3 separate regions of the Mus musculus genome follow, and regions 2 and 3 are each reported to be linked to region 1. The links are microRNA targets in miRTarBase. Many come from high-throughput screens and were not tested one by one. Region 1 holds a microRNA gene; each other region holds the end of a gene's coding sequence.
What was found. The annotated mature microRNA mmu-miR-7b-5p reads UGGAAGACUUGUGAUUUUGUUGUU and lies in region 1 at 1,344-1,367, shown strand. An mRNA with a match to its seed (bases 2 to 7 or 8) in the 3' UTR can be bound and repressed. Matches are read on the target gene's strand: a 7mer-m8 pairs with bases 2 to 8, a 7mer-A1 pairs with bases 2 to 7 and ends in A, and an 8mer does both.

Region 2: the mRNA of Fam168b is a reported target of mmu-miR-7b-5p. Seed matches in the 3' UTR shown: 7mer-m8 at 1,782-1,788.
Region 3: miRTarBase lists Arhgap23 as a target of mmu-miR-7b-5p. The part of its 3' UTR that is shown has no 7-base or 8-base seed match.

Annotation. Positions count from the first base shown.
Region 1 is chr17:56,241,674-56,244,822 of GRCm38, forward strand. Mir7b (microRNA 7b) reads left to right here and starts at 1,315; the gene lies at 1,315-1,425. A230051N06Rik (RIKEN cDNA A230051N06 gene) reads left to right here and starts at 43. Exons shown (of 2, transcript NR_155493.1): 1 at 43-141; 2 at 483-1,132.
Region 2 is chr1:34,815,324-34,818,323 of GRCm38, reverse strand. It overlaps Fam168b (family with sequence similarity 168, member B), which reads left to right. Exons shown (of 7, transcript NM_174997.2): 6 at 198-327; 7 at 920-3,000. The coding sequence ends at 310. Among named protein-coding and RNA genes, the nearest start is that of Gm32790, 24 kb to the right of the region's middle.
Region 3 is chr11:97,500,532-97,503,531 of GRCm38, reverse strand. Arhgap23 (Rho GTPase activating protein 23) reads right to left here. Exons shown (of 19, transcript NM_021493.2): 19 at 1,132-3,000. The coding sequence ends at 2,407. Among named protein-coding and RNA genes, the nearest start is that of 4933428G20Rik, 1.7 kb to the right of the region's middle.

The sequences.
Region 1 (3,149 bases):
CCAAGACGATTCCTATTGGTTCACTGGCTAAGCCCCACCCAGGGTTTCCAGCGCTCCGCCTTCCCCTTAAGCGCATAAAGGTGAAACGTCGGAAACTGGACAGCCACCGAGACACCTGCAGCTGCTGGTGAGCAGGAGAAGGTAAGGCACGAAGGAAGGAGGAAAAGGTGCGCTGAGGGAGGGAAGCGGGGACTCTGGGTACAATGCAAGTTGGCACATCTTCCAGAAGGCCAACTGGACTGTTTAGGAAGGGCAGAGAACCCAGGGCTGTCTCCCTGAGATGTGGGAGCAGGTGAGAGCCTTGCGCCTTCGTCCCCGCCTAGAACACCCCGGGTCCATGGGAAGAGATTAAAACAGAAGATGGGTCCCTAGGACGAAGAACAGAAACAAGGAGCGGGGCATTTTGGCAGAAGGCAGAAGCTGGGAGAGTGTCCTCGAGCCGCACTGACCACCCCCTCCCCCAATAACTAATTATGTTTCAGCACTGGAGACGCGGACAGCGCCATCCGGCTGAGGGACTCGGAGCAGAGTTCGGCTTCAGCACCAGGATTTCGGACAGCTCCCAGCGGGTCACGAAGAGACTAGGCTTCAGCACCCGGCCCCTGGCAGTGCCAAGCTCTCAACACCCAGCTTCAGGGATCGCCTTGGGGTCTGTTCTGGCGGAGAGTGTACAGGGAAGGAACCTCTTAATGGTTCTTGGCATTTGTCCTTTACGGAGGGATTTTTTTTTTCTTTTTTGAAACAGGGTTTTTTTGTGTGTACCTCTAGCTGTTCTGAAACTCACTATGTAGACTAGGCTGGCTTCAAACTCACAGAGTACAGGCGAAGCATTTGGTCAACGAGATGTTATGAGTGCCTCTGGGTGTACTAATTTCCAAAGTGAAGTGGTGAGGGGAAAGCCAGCCTCAATCCAACTTTAAATCTCAAGTTCTTTTTATTTTTAAAAAGAGTTTTTCTCTCAATTATATATATAATTATTATTATTTTAAAACACTGTAGACCAAGCTTTGAACTCCTTGTGTAGCCAAAGATGATCTTGAAGTTCTCATCCTCCTGCCTCTACTCCCTGCGTGCTGGGGTGACAAGTGTGTGCTCCTCGTGCCTGGAACAATAAATCCCACGTTGGTGATGTGCCAGGGTGTGAGTTGGGGGGCAGGTAGAGAATGAATCTTGCCTGTGTCTCAGGGGATGGAATGGAAAAGGGATGTCTAGGGAGGGTAAGTCAGTGAGTGGGGTTTGTTATGCTCAATCCTCTATGGAGAGAGAGAGAGAAGCACTTGAGGGTGTTGAACCTGGCGGAGGAGGATGAGGACGAGGAGCGGAGTACGTGAGCCAGTGCTATGTGGAAGACTTGTGATTTTGTTGTTCTGATATGATATGACAACAAGTCACAGCCAGCCTCATAGCGTGGACTCCTATCACCTTTCTCCTGAAATACACAAACAGGTAGGGGCAGGAAACTGGGACAGGAGGGGGTTAAGGGAAGTCTAGCACGGACAGGAGAGGGTGTCTAGCAAGGTCTCGGGCCCTGGGAGAGTGCAGGAGTGTTTCCCATGCTATTGGCCTGTCACTCAAACACATCTACATGATAGGATCAGAGACACAACCTCAGGGCCCTGGGTCACAGCACCGTGCTTTCTCTGGAGACTCAAATAGGGAATGGTGAGCCAGTGGAGTAACTCAGAGGGAAAGAGTGCTTTGAAATTAGGGAACCCAAGCTTGAGCCCCAGGATCAACTGGGTAGAAGGATAAAACCAACTCCTGCAAGTTGTCCTCTGACCATACATGTCCTGTGACACACATGCTTCCACACACAAATAAATAAACACACATAAAAATTTTTCTTTTTTTTTTTTTTAAGAGAGGGTTTCTGGGGCTGGTGAGATGGCTCAGTGGGTAAGAGCACCCGACTGCTCTTCCGAAGGTCCAGAGTTCAAATCCCAGCAACCACATGGTGGCTCACAACCATCTGTAATGAGATCTGACTCCCTCTTCTGGTGTCTGAAGACAGCTACAGTGTACTTACATATAATAAATAAATAAATCTTTAAAAAAAAAAAAAAGAATTACATTTAAAAAAAAAAAAAAAAGAGAGGGTTTCTGTATATAAACCTGGCTGTCTTAGAACTTACTCTGTAGACCAGGTTACCCTCAAATTCAGAGATCCACCTGCCTCTGCCTCCTGAGTGTTTGAATTAAAAGCATGTGCATACATAAAACTTTTTTTTTTTTTGGTTTTTTGAGACAGGGTTTCTCTGTATAGACCTGGCTGTTGCTCTGTAGACCAGGCTGGCCTCGAACTCAGAAATCTCCCTGCCTCTGTCTCCCAAGTGCTGGGATTAAAGGCATGCGCCACCACTGCCCGGCCATAAAACTTTTAAAAGAGGGATTGGCATCAAAGGTACTTCTAGAAAACCCTGAAATTCTTTTCTCTTTCTTGTTTTCTTTTCCTCACTCTTTTCACTTTGCCTGCTTTGAGACAGTGTCACCTGTAGTCCAGGCTTTTCTCTAACTCTGAATGTAGCCCAGGATGGCTTTGAACACTGAGTTCTCTTGCCTCCAGTCCCTGAGAACCATGCCTAGCATACACGGTGTTGGATTCAGAATTTCAAATGCTTTGACTGGGTACGGTACCCATGGAGCCCCAGCCCAATTTTCAATAAAACTCTGTGCCCGCCACACAAAGCAACCACTAGTTGCATGACTGATACCAAGAAAATGTGGACTTGTTGTCTGGTGGGTCATGGCATTCTTAACATTCAACACCTATCATCTGTGACATTCTAATGCAGTCACTAACCATCCCCCACTGTGCAATTCTCCCCAGCTGTCCTAGTGTGCATCCTGGTGCTGTGACAGGACCTTGACTCAAGAAAAGGGCAGGAAAGAGTTTATTCAGCTTACAATGATGGCCACACTCCATCACTGAGGGAAGTCAGGGCTGGAACCGGGAGGCAGGAGCTGATGCAGAGGCCATAGAGGGGTGTTGCTTACTGGTTGCTTACTTGCTTCCCCTGGCTTGCTCAGTCTTCTTTCTTATAGAATCTGGGACCACCAGTCCAAGGATGGCACCACCCACAATGGCCTTAAATCATTAATCATGAAAATACCTGATAAAGGCCTTTTCTCAATTGAGGTTCCTGCTTCCC
Region 2 (3,000 bases), not on the chromosome of region 1:
TGCACTAATAATGCCTTTCATCATTTTGGATAATCCGTTTGGAGGTTTGACCCTTCTGGTTCAAGACCAAGACCATTCCTCTTCCCTCCCCTCCTGCCTCCCCAGAGAAAGTCAGGTCAGGATGTGCTCTCAGAGACCACATGATGGAGCTCTCTAGCAGTCGCTTGTACTTCCTTATGAAGTGTTCTTTCTTCCAGGTACTCTGCTGACTGCTCATTCTCCAACTCCTGTAGCCCCTCACCCGGTCACTGTCCCCACATACCGAGCCCCAGGAACACCCACCTACAGCTATGTGCCCCCACAGTGGTGATTGCCCTGCAAATTAATGTGAGTATTAGTGAAGGCTGTGGCTAGGTGGGCCCTGCTGAGGTGCACTTCTCTGAGGAGACTGCAAGACTGACTAGATACAAGCACTGGTCTAGTATGCTTGTCTGTCTTTTGATACGGCACAACACTGAGCGAGAGCACCTTGGGGAAAGGAAGAGTGGCTTGGCCTGGCTTACAGTGACTACAGTTACAACCCATCATAACGGGAGTCTGAGCAGGAACTGATGTACAGCCGTGAGGATGGGTGCTGATTGGCTTGCTTCTCCAGCTTGCCCTCCTTGCTCACCTCCCTCCCTTACAGCCTCGGCCCACCCGCCCACGAATGGCACCCTAGGCCTTACCTCATTATGTCATTATTCTTATTGGGACATCCAATAAGGGAAGAGGGAGGGGGGGCATTGAGTGCTAACTGTTTGTCTTGCTGCTTCTGTAGTGCAGTGTGTAGGGCTCCAGGTATAATGGGGCAGGGGGCACAGGGTGTTGCTGTAAGGTGGGTGGGAACCAGGTGGCGCAGCTTTGGGTACCGCTGCCTTCTGGAACTGGTAAAGCACAAGTGCCAAGAGCCTGTCTGACTGTTGTTATTCTTTCCCAGATTTGAGGATGGAGCTGTGCAGTCACTTCATTGAGTTCCACAGCTGGTGCTGCAGGCCTTGTGCCTCCAACCAGGACTTTCTTCTTACTGCTCCGACACTTAGCTAAACATGACTGCGCCCCAGCCCAGCAGGTCCCAGCTCGCTAGTCTCCAACTAACTCTGGGTTGGTTTTAAAGCAAATCCTGTTTTGTGGACTGCCTGGCAAATTTTTTAGCTAACTGTAATGATAAAAAGGGAGTATTACTCTATTCTGAATCATATCTAGTTGAATGCATGTTTATAAAAACAAACAAAAACAAAGCTTGCTCAATCTACCTGCAGTGACTGATGCAAAACCATCATATGCAAAACCCGAAGGACTGGACCACGTTCACAGCCTGTCCTGTCCCTCACGCACCTCTGCGATGTACGCTGAGCCTCAGTTACACTTGTACAAGGGATGTCCTCACTGAAGCGTGGGGAGGACTGCAGGGGACTCTTAGGGGCTGGGGTTGCCAGTTATGGACACAGACTATAGCTTTCAGCAGCCTGGTTTTTTGGCACTGGCTGACTGATCCTGAGGGAGCTGCAGGGACTGGGGGAGAGAGAGCACACCTGCAGCAGCTCCAGACAGCAGCAGCAGCAGCAGCAGGGATGACGGGGTCCCTCTCCTTCATTTCAGCTGGAGTGTGCTCTGCAGAACAGGGGTCTACCTGAAGCTTATCAGGAAATACAGGAGCTTGGTGACGAGTCCAGCTGGGGTGAGGAGTGGTCTGTGTGTCAGAGCAGGGTCTGCCATCCGAGTTTTCTCTGTATGTCTTACAGGATAACGTTCTCTGTATCTGTTGGGACTGTTGGGAAAGTCCATTGTAGAAGTAAACTGTCTTCCTAGGAGGGAAGATGTCAAAGAGAAGCAGCCACACTGAGGCAGTGTTGTCTTTTGCTTTATTTTGCTTAGGGAACCATTCCTTTTTTTCCCCCTGAGAATAACTGAGTCACCTAAAGACATGGGCACTGCTGTATTCTCCCACAAAGACTTCAGCTGTGTGCTGTGAAGAGTGTTGTACATTTAAGACTGGTTACAAGGGAATAAGTGTATTTTTAAGTTAGTTCCTCATGTTTCTTGTAGAGAAGCAGGGCTGTGATGATGTGTAAAAATGTAGAAATAATGTAGCTTGTCTTGGGGCCATTCACCTGAGGATGCTCTCTGTAACTAGCGGGGTGAGGCCCGGGAAGCCTGCGGAAACCTGCGGAAGCCACTCTGCTGTCACTGAAGGCACTCAGTACCAAGCAGATGTGGAAAGCAGAAAGGGCCAGGCAGTTCAGGAGTGCTCTTGCTTGGAAGGCTCTGTGGTGGGAAAGATTTTGAGTGTGTACATAAGAAACCACAAAAGTTCTTTCTGCCTGAGTGTGCCCGACTTGAATCTGTGAGAGTGTTTCTGTTCAGTGTGGGTCAAAGGGCAGGGCACGAGGACCTCTCTGGGCTCTGTCAACTGGGGGTGAGCTTTGTATCTTTTGTCAGCCCCATTGAATTCCTGGGGCTTTGGTTGGAAGGGGTGCTTGTCTCTGGCAGCTAAGTCAGGGCTTCCATGTTGGTGTAGAGGTTGCCTCAGTAGCAGTCAACTTGGCTAGAGGCTGGGTCACCTGAATATGGAACCTTCGGTGACCTTATTTTTATAGTAATGCTCTCCATAGTTTTTTTTTAAGCATTTTATTTTTTGAGAAGTTTAGGAAGGTTGCTGCATGGATCAGTGTGAACAGAAGATTCCTCATTCCTTATGTCTATGAACATAGAAAGTTTATGGATGATTATGGTTAATTGCCTCATGAGCACTTAGGTGTGTGTGTGTGTGTATGTGTGCGTGCGTGCGTGCGTGTGTGTGTGTGTGCTTGGATGTGCGCGTGCATGGGGAGAGGGGTAGCACCAGCAAGCACACCCTGCACAGAGATAGACACGCTTGCTGGAGCACACAGCCTGCACCCGTACTTCCATGTTGGGATCCCGTCCCTGTGCTGAGTGACTTGCAGGGTTGGGATTTCCAAGTTTTCTCTGGACTCATCAGACAGAAGGGGATTTCTTTAGAACAAATGTACCTGTGAT
Region 3 (3,000 bases), not on the chromosome of region 1:
TAAGTTGAGGTCAGCCTGATCTACACAATGAGTTCCACCAGTCAGGGCTACATAGTGAGACCCTGACTATAAAACAAAATAAAACAAATCCAAAGTTTGCTCCAATGTAGATCTCTCCCCTTCCTCTATGTGGTTAATATGATACAAACCACACCTTATGGACAATGCTTTTGCAATTATTGTTTTGTGCAGCTGAGTTCTCTTTTAAAGCGAAACAAGAAAAATACATGTCTCTATTCCCCATGGCCACAGTATTTATCCTCTGTGTGGGTTCAAGTTACCACCCAGTGTGTTTTCCTCAGCTCAAAGGCCCTTTCTGCCTGCAAAGAATTCTGTTTCCTCATCTAGACGTATCTTCTGCCTGCAAAGAATTGTTTCCTCGTCTAGACGTATCTTCGTTTGACCTTCTCATCTTTAGAGTCTGTTACTGTCTGCAGGTCACCCTGTGAGAAAGGAGTCCCACCCCTACCCCTAGCTTCTCTCTGGATCCACCCCTTATTAACAGGGTGACCTTGGCAAGCCACATCCTTCTCAGTGCCTCAGCTTTCTCACACCCAGAAAGGACATAGTGATGGCCCTGAGCTGAGTGTTGGAGATGTGGTTCAGGGCAAAGCCCTGGAGGTGGGTTCTGAGCACTCAGGGATACCAGTTCCAAGCTTCCCAAGGGTACAGGGCTGCTTCAGAGCCATAACTGAGGGTGCTGTGGGCTTACACATGGTTGAAAAAAATTGGTCAATCTCACACTAAATGCTGTTGGGCCTGAGGTGCCTGTGGCCACAGCTGGCCAAGTTTCTTGCCTGTGGGTTAGTGCCTGAGGCCACTCGGAAGGCATGAGAAAGAAGGAGCCTCCCACACCTGGCCTCTGCCAAGGAGACGCCTGGAAACCTCCTGCTGACGATCCCAGGATGTGGGTGGGGACAGCACTGTGGGTGGGGACAGCGCACCACTCATCCTGTGCGACTTTCTCTGTTCATACCAGTCTCCTAGGACACAAAAAGCCACCAGAGAGAAGTGGTTCCCTGCATCCTGCCACTCCGCCTGGCTACCCTGCTTGCCGAGACACATCCCTCAGATAGCTCCTCCCAGCGCTGCTCTGTTCTTCTCCCCATCCAAACAAGCGAGACACTGGTTCATGCCTGAGGAAGGCCATTTATTTCCAAGATATAGACTGTACTTTTAAGACAAGACTTTCAGAAGCAGGAATCTTAGTTATAGCCTAGAGAGGTGTGTCAAGGACACAGTGGGAGGAGCCATGCAGATGTGGGGGGCTTTATCCAACACTGTTACAACACTTTTTAAAATGAGCAAAACATCTTTAAAAATCCTTATAAATTCTTTATAATATGTTACACATTAGAGACAATATTTACAGTGAAAGGGAGGGGGGAGAGACTTTACAGCAAATCTTTGCATAAACCCGAAAGACTGACAGACCTGGGCAGCAGAGCAGGTCACCCCACTGGGGCTCCCCTGGAATGAGTGAGGGCAGAGGGGGACTAGTGCTTTAGGTCTATTTACAATGTGTGGGAAGAGAAGCTGGTCCCACCCACCCTGCAAGAACAGCCCAGCTGAGACTCTATACATCAGTGCCGGACAGAGTTCCTCCCGACTGAAGGCGAGTCCGCATGCTAAGCTGCCGAAGGATGCAGGGTGAACATGGAGGAGGAAGATGCCAGCTGTAAGGGGATCCAGACAGATCCACAGGTCAGAGAGCTTAGAGGGGTGACTTAGAGGTCGGCAAAGGATGTGAGGAGCGACTCCGGTAGTAGTGGGGTTCAGTCCTGCCTCTGTGGAAGTGGCCTCAACCCAGCCTCTGACAAACTTGGGGCTAAGGTGCCTGTGTGCACCAAAGGCAGGGTCCTGGCGGGGAAAATAAAAGAATTGGGGTAGAAATAGCTACTGGTAACAAACACCTTTGCACTGTGACTACACACACACACACATACACACTCTCACACACACACACACACACATGCCCCCTCTCCCATGGACACCCAACCCCACATAACCGCTCCTCAGACATTCATCCTCCCTCTCTCCCTGGCTAGGAGCTATTGGGGGGGGAGGCAGAGGACAGACCCTAAATCCAGCCTGTATTTTTCCTTCTGTATGAAACTTGGGCGGTCCACCCACACTGCATGGGTCACCAAGGGTCCCTAAGTAGACTCACAGAAAAGGGCTACTCGGTTCTTCATCCAAGGGACATGACTCCCAATAGCCCCTCCCCTCTCCTGAGGACTCCCACTTCGGTCTGGCTTTGATTTCTCTGCCCACCTCACCTAACTCCAGCCTGCCACACCAGCGCCGCCCTTCACACCCCACCCCCAACCTTCTGCAGCACTGGGGGTGGCTGAGGGGGGCACAAACGAGACGGGAATTTCTGCAGCCCCGGAACAGGGGAGGGTATCACAGACACTGGTGGAGGCGGGCGGCAGCTGAGCGGCGCTGGGGCAGACCCTGCAGGGCCCCTAGGTCCCCAGATGGCAGTGATGCGGCGGATGAGGCCCGTGCCTTGGTGGACTCCAGGCTGCTGAGGCCAGAGTCCTTATTGTCGCTGTGCGGTCGCACGCCCACGGACTCCTGAGGGCCCCCTCCACCCAGCTCCTTCCACTCGTTGAAGTTGAGGTCGGTCAGCGGGCTCTGCACCACCACTGTGTGGCGGCGCCAGCTACTCCGGCGCCGCCGCGTCTCGGGCGACAGTGGGCGCCGCAGCCGCACGGCCAGCATGTCGTCGGCGGTGCCACGGAGACGTAGCCGCAGGGCTTCCACGCGCGAAGGTCGTGAGCCGAGTGCCGGGGCGGCCGCCGGGGGCCGCAGCGACTCCTGGCTGCTGGACGATGCCGAGCCCGGTGGCTCCGGACCGCGGGGACACGCCCGGGCCGTACCCGCGCCCGGACCCTCGGCCTCCGCGCGGCTGCGAGACAGGCGACGGCGTGCCAGAGTGTCGCATGGCATGAGATGGTGTGAGCTGAAGGATGGCCGGCGCGACAGGCGCCCCCC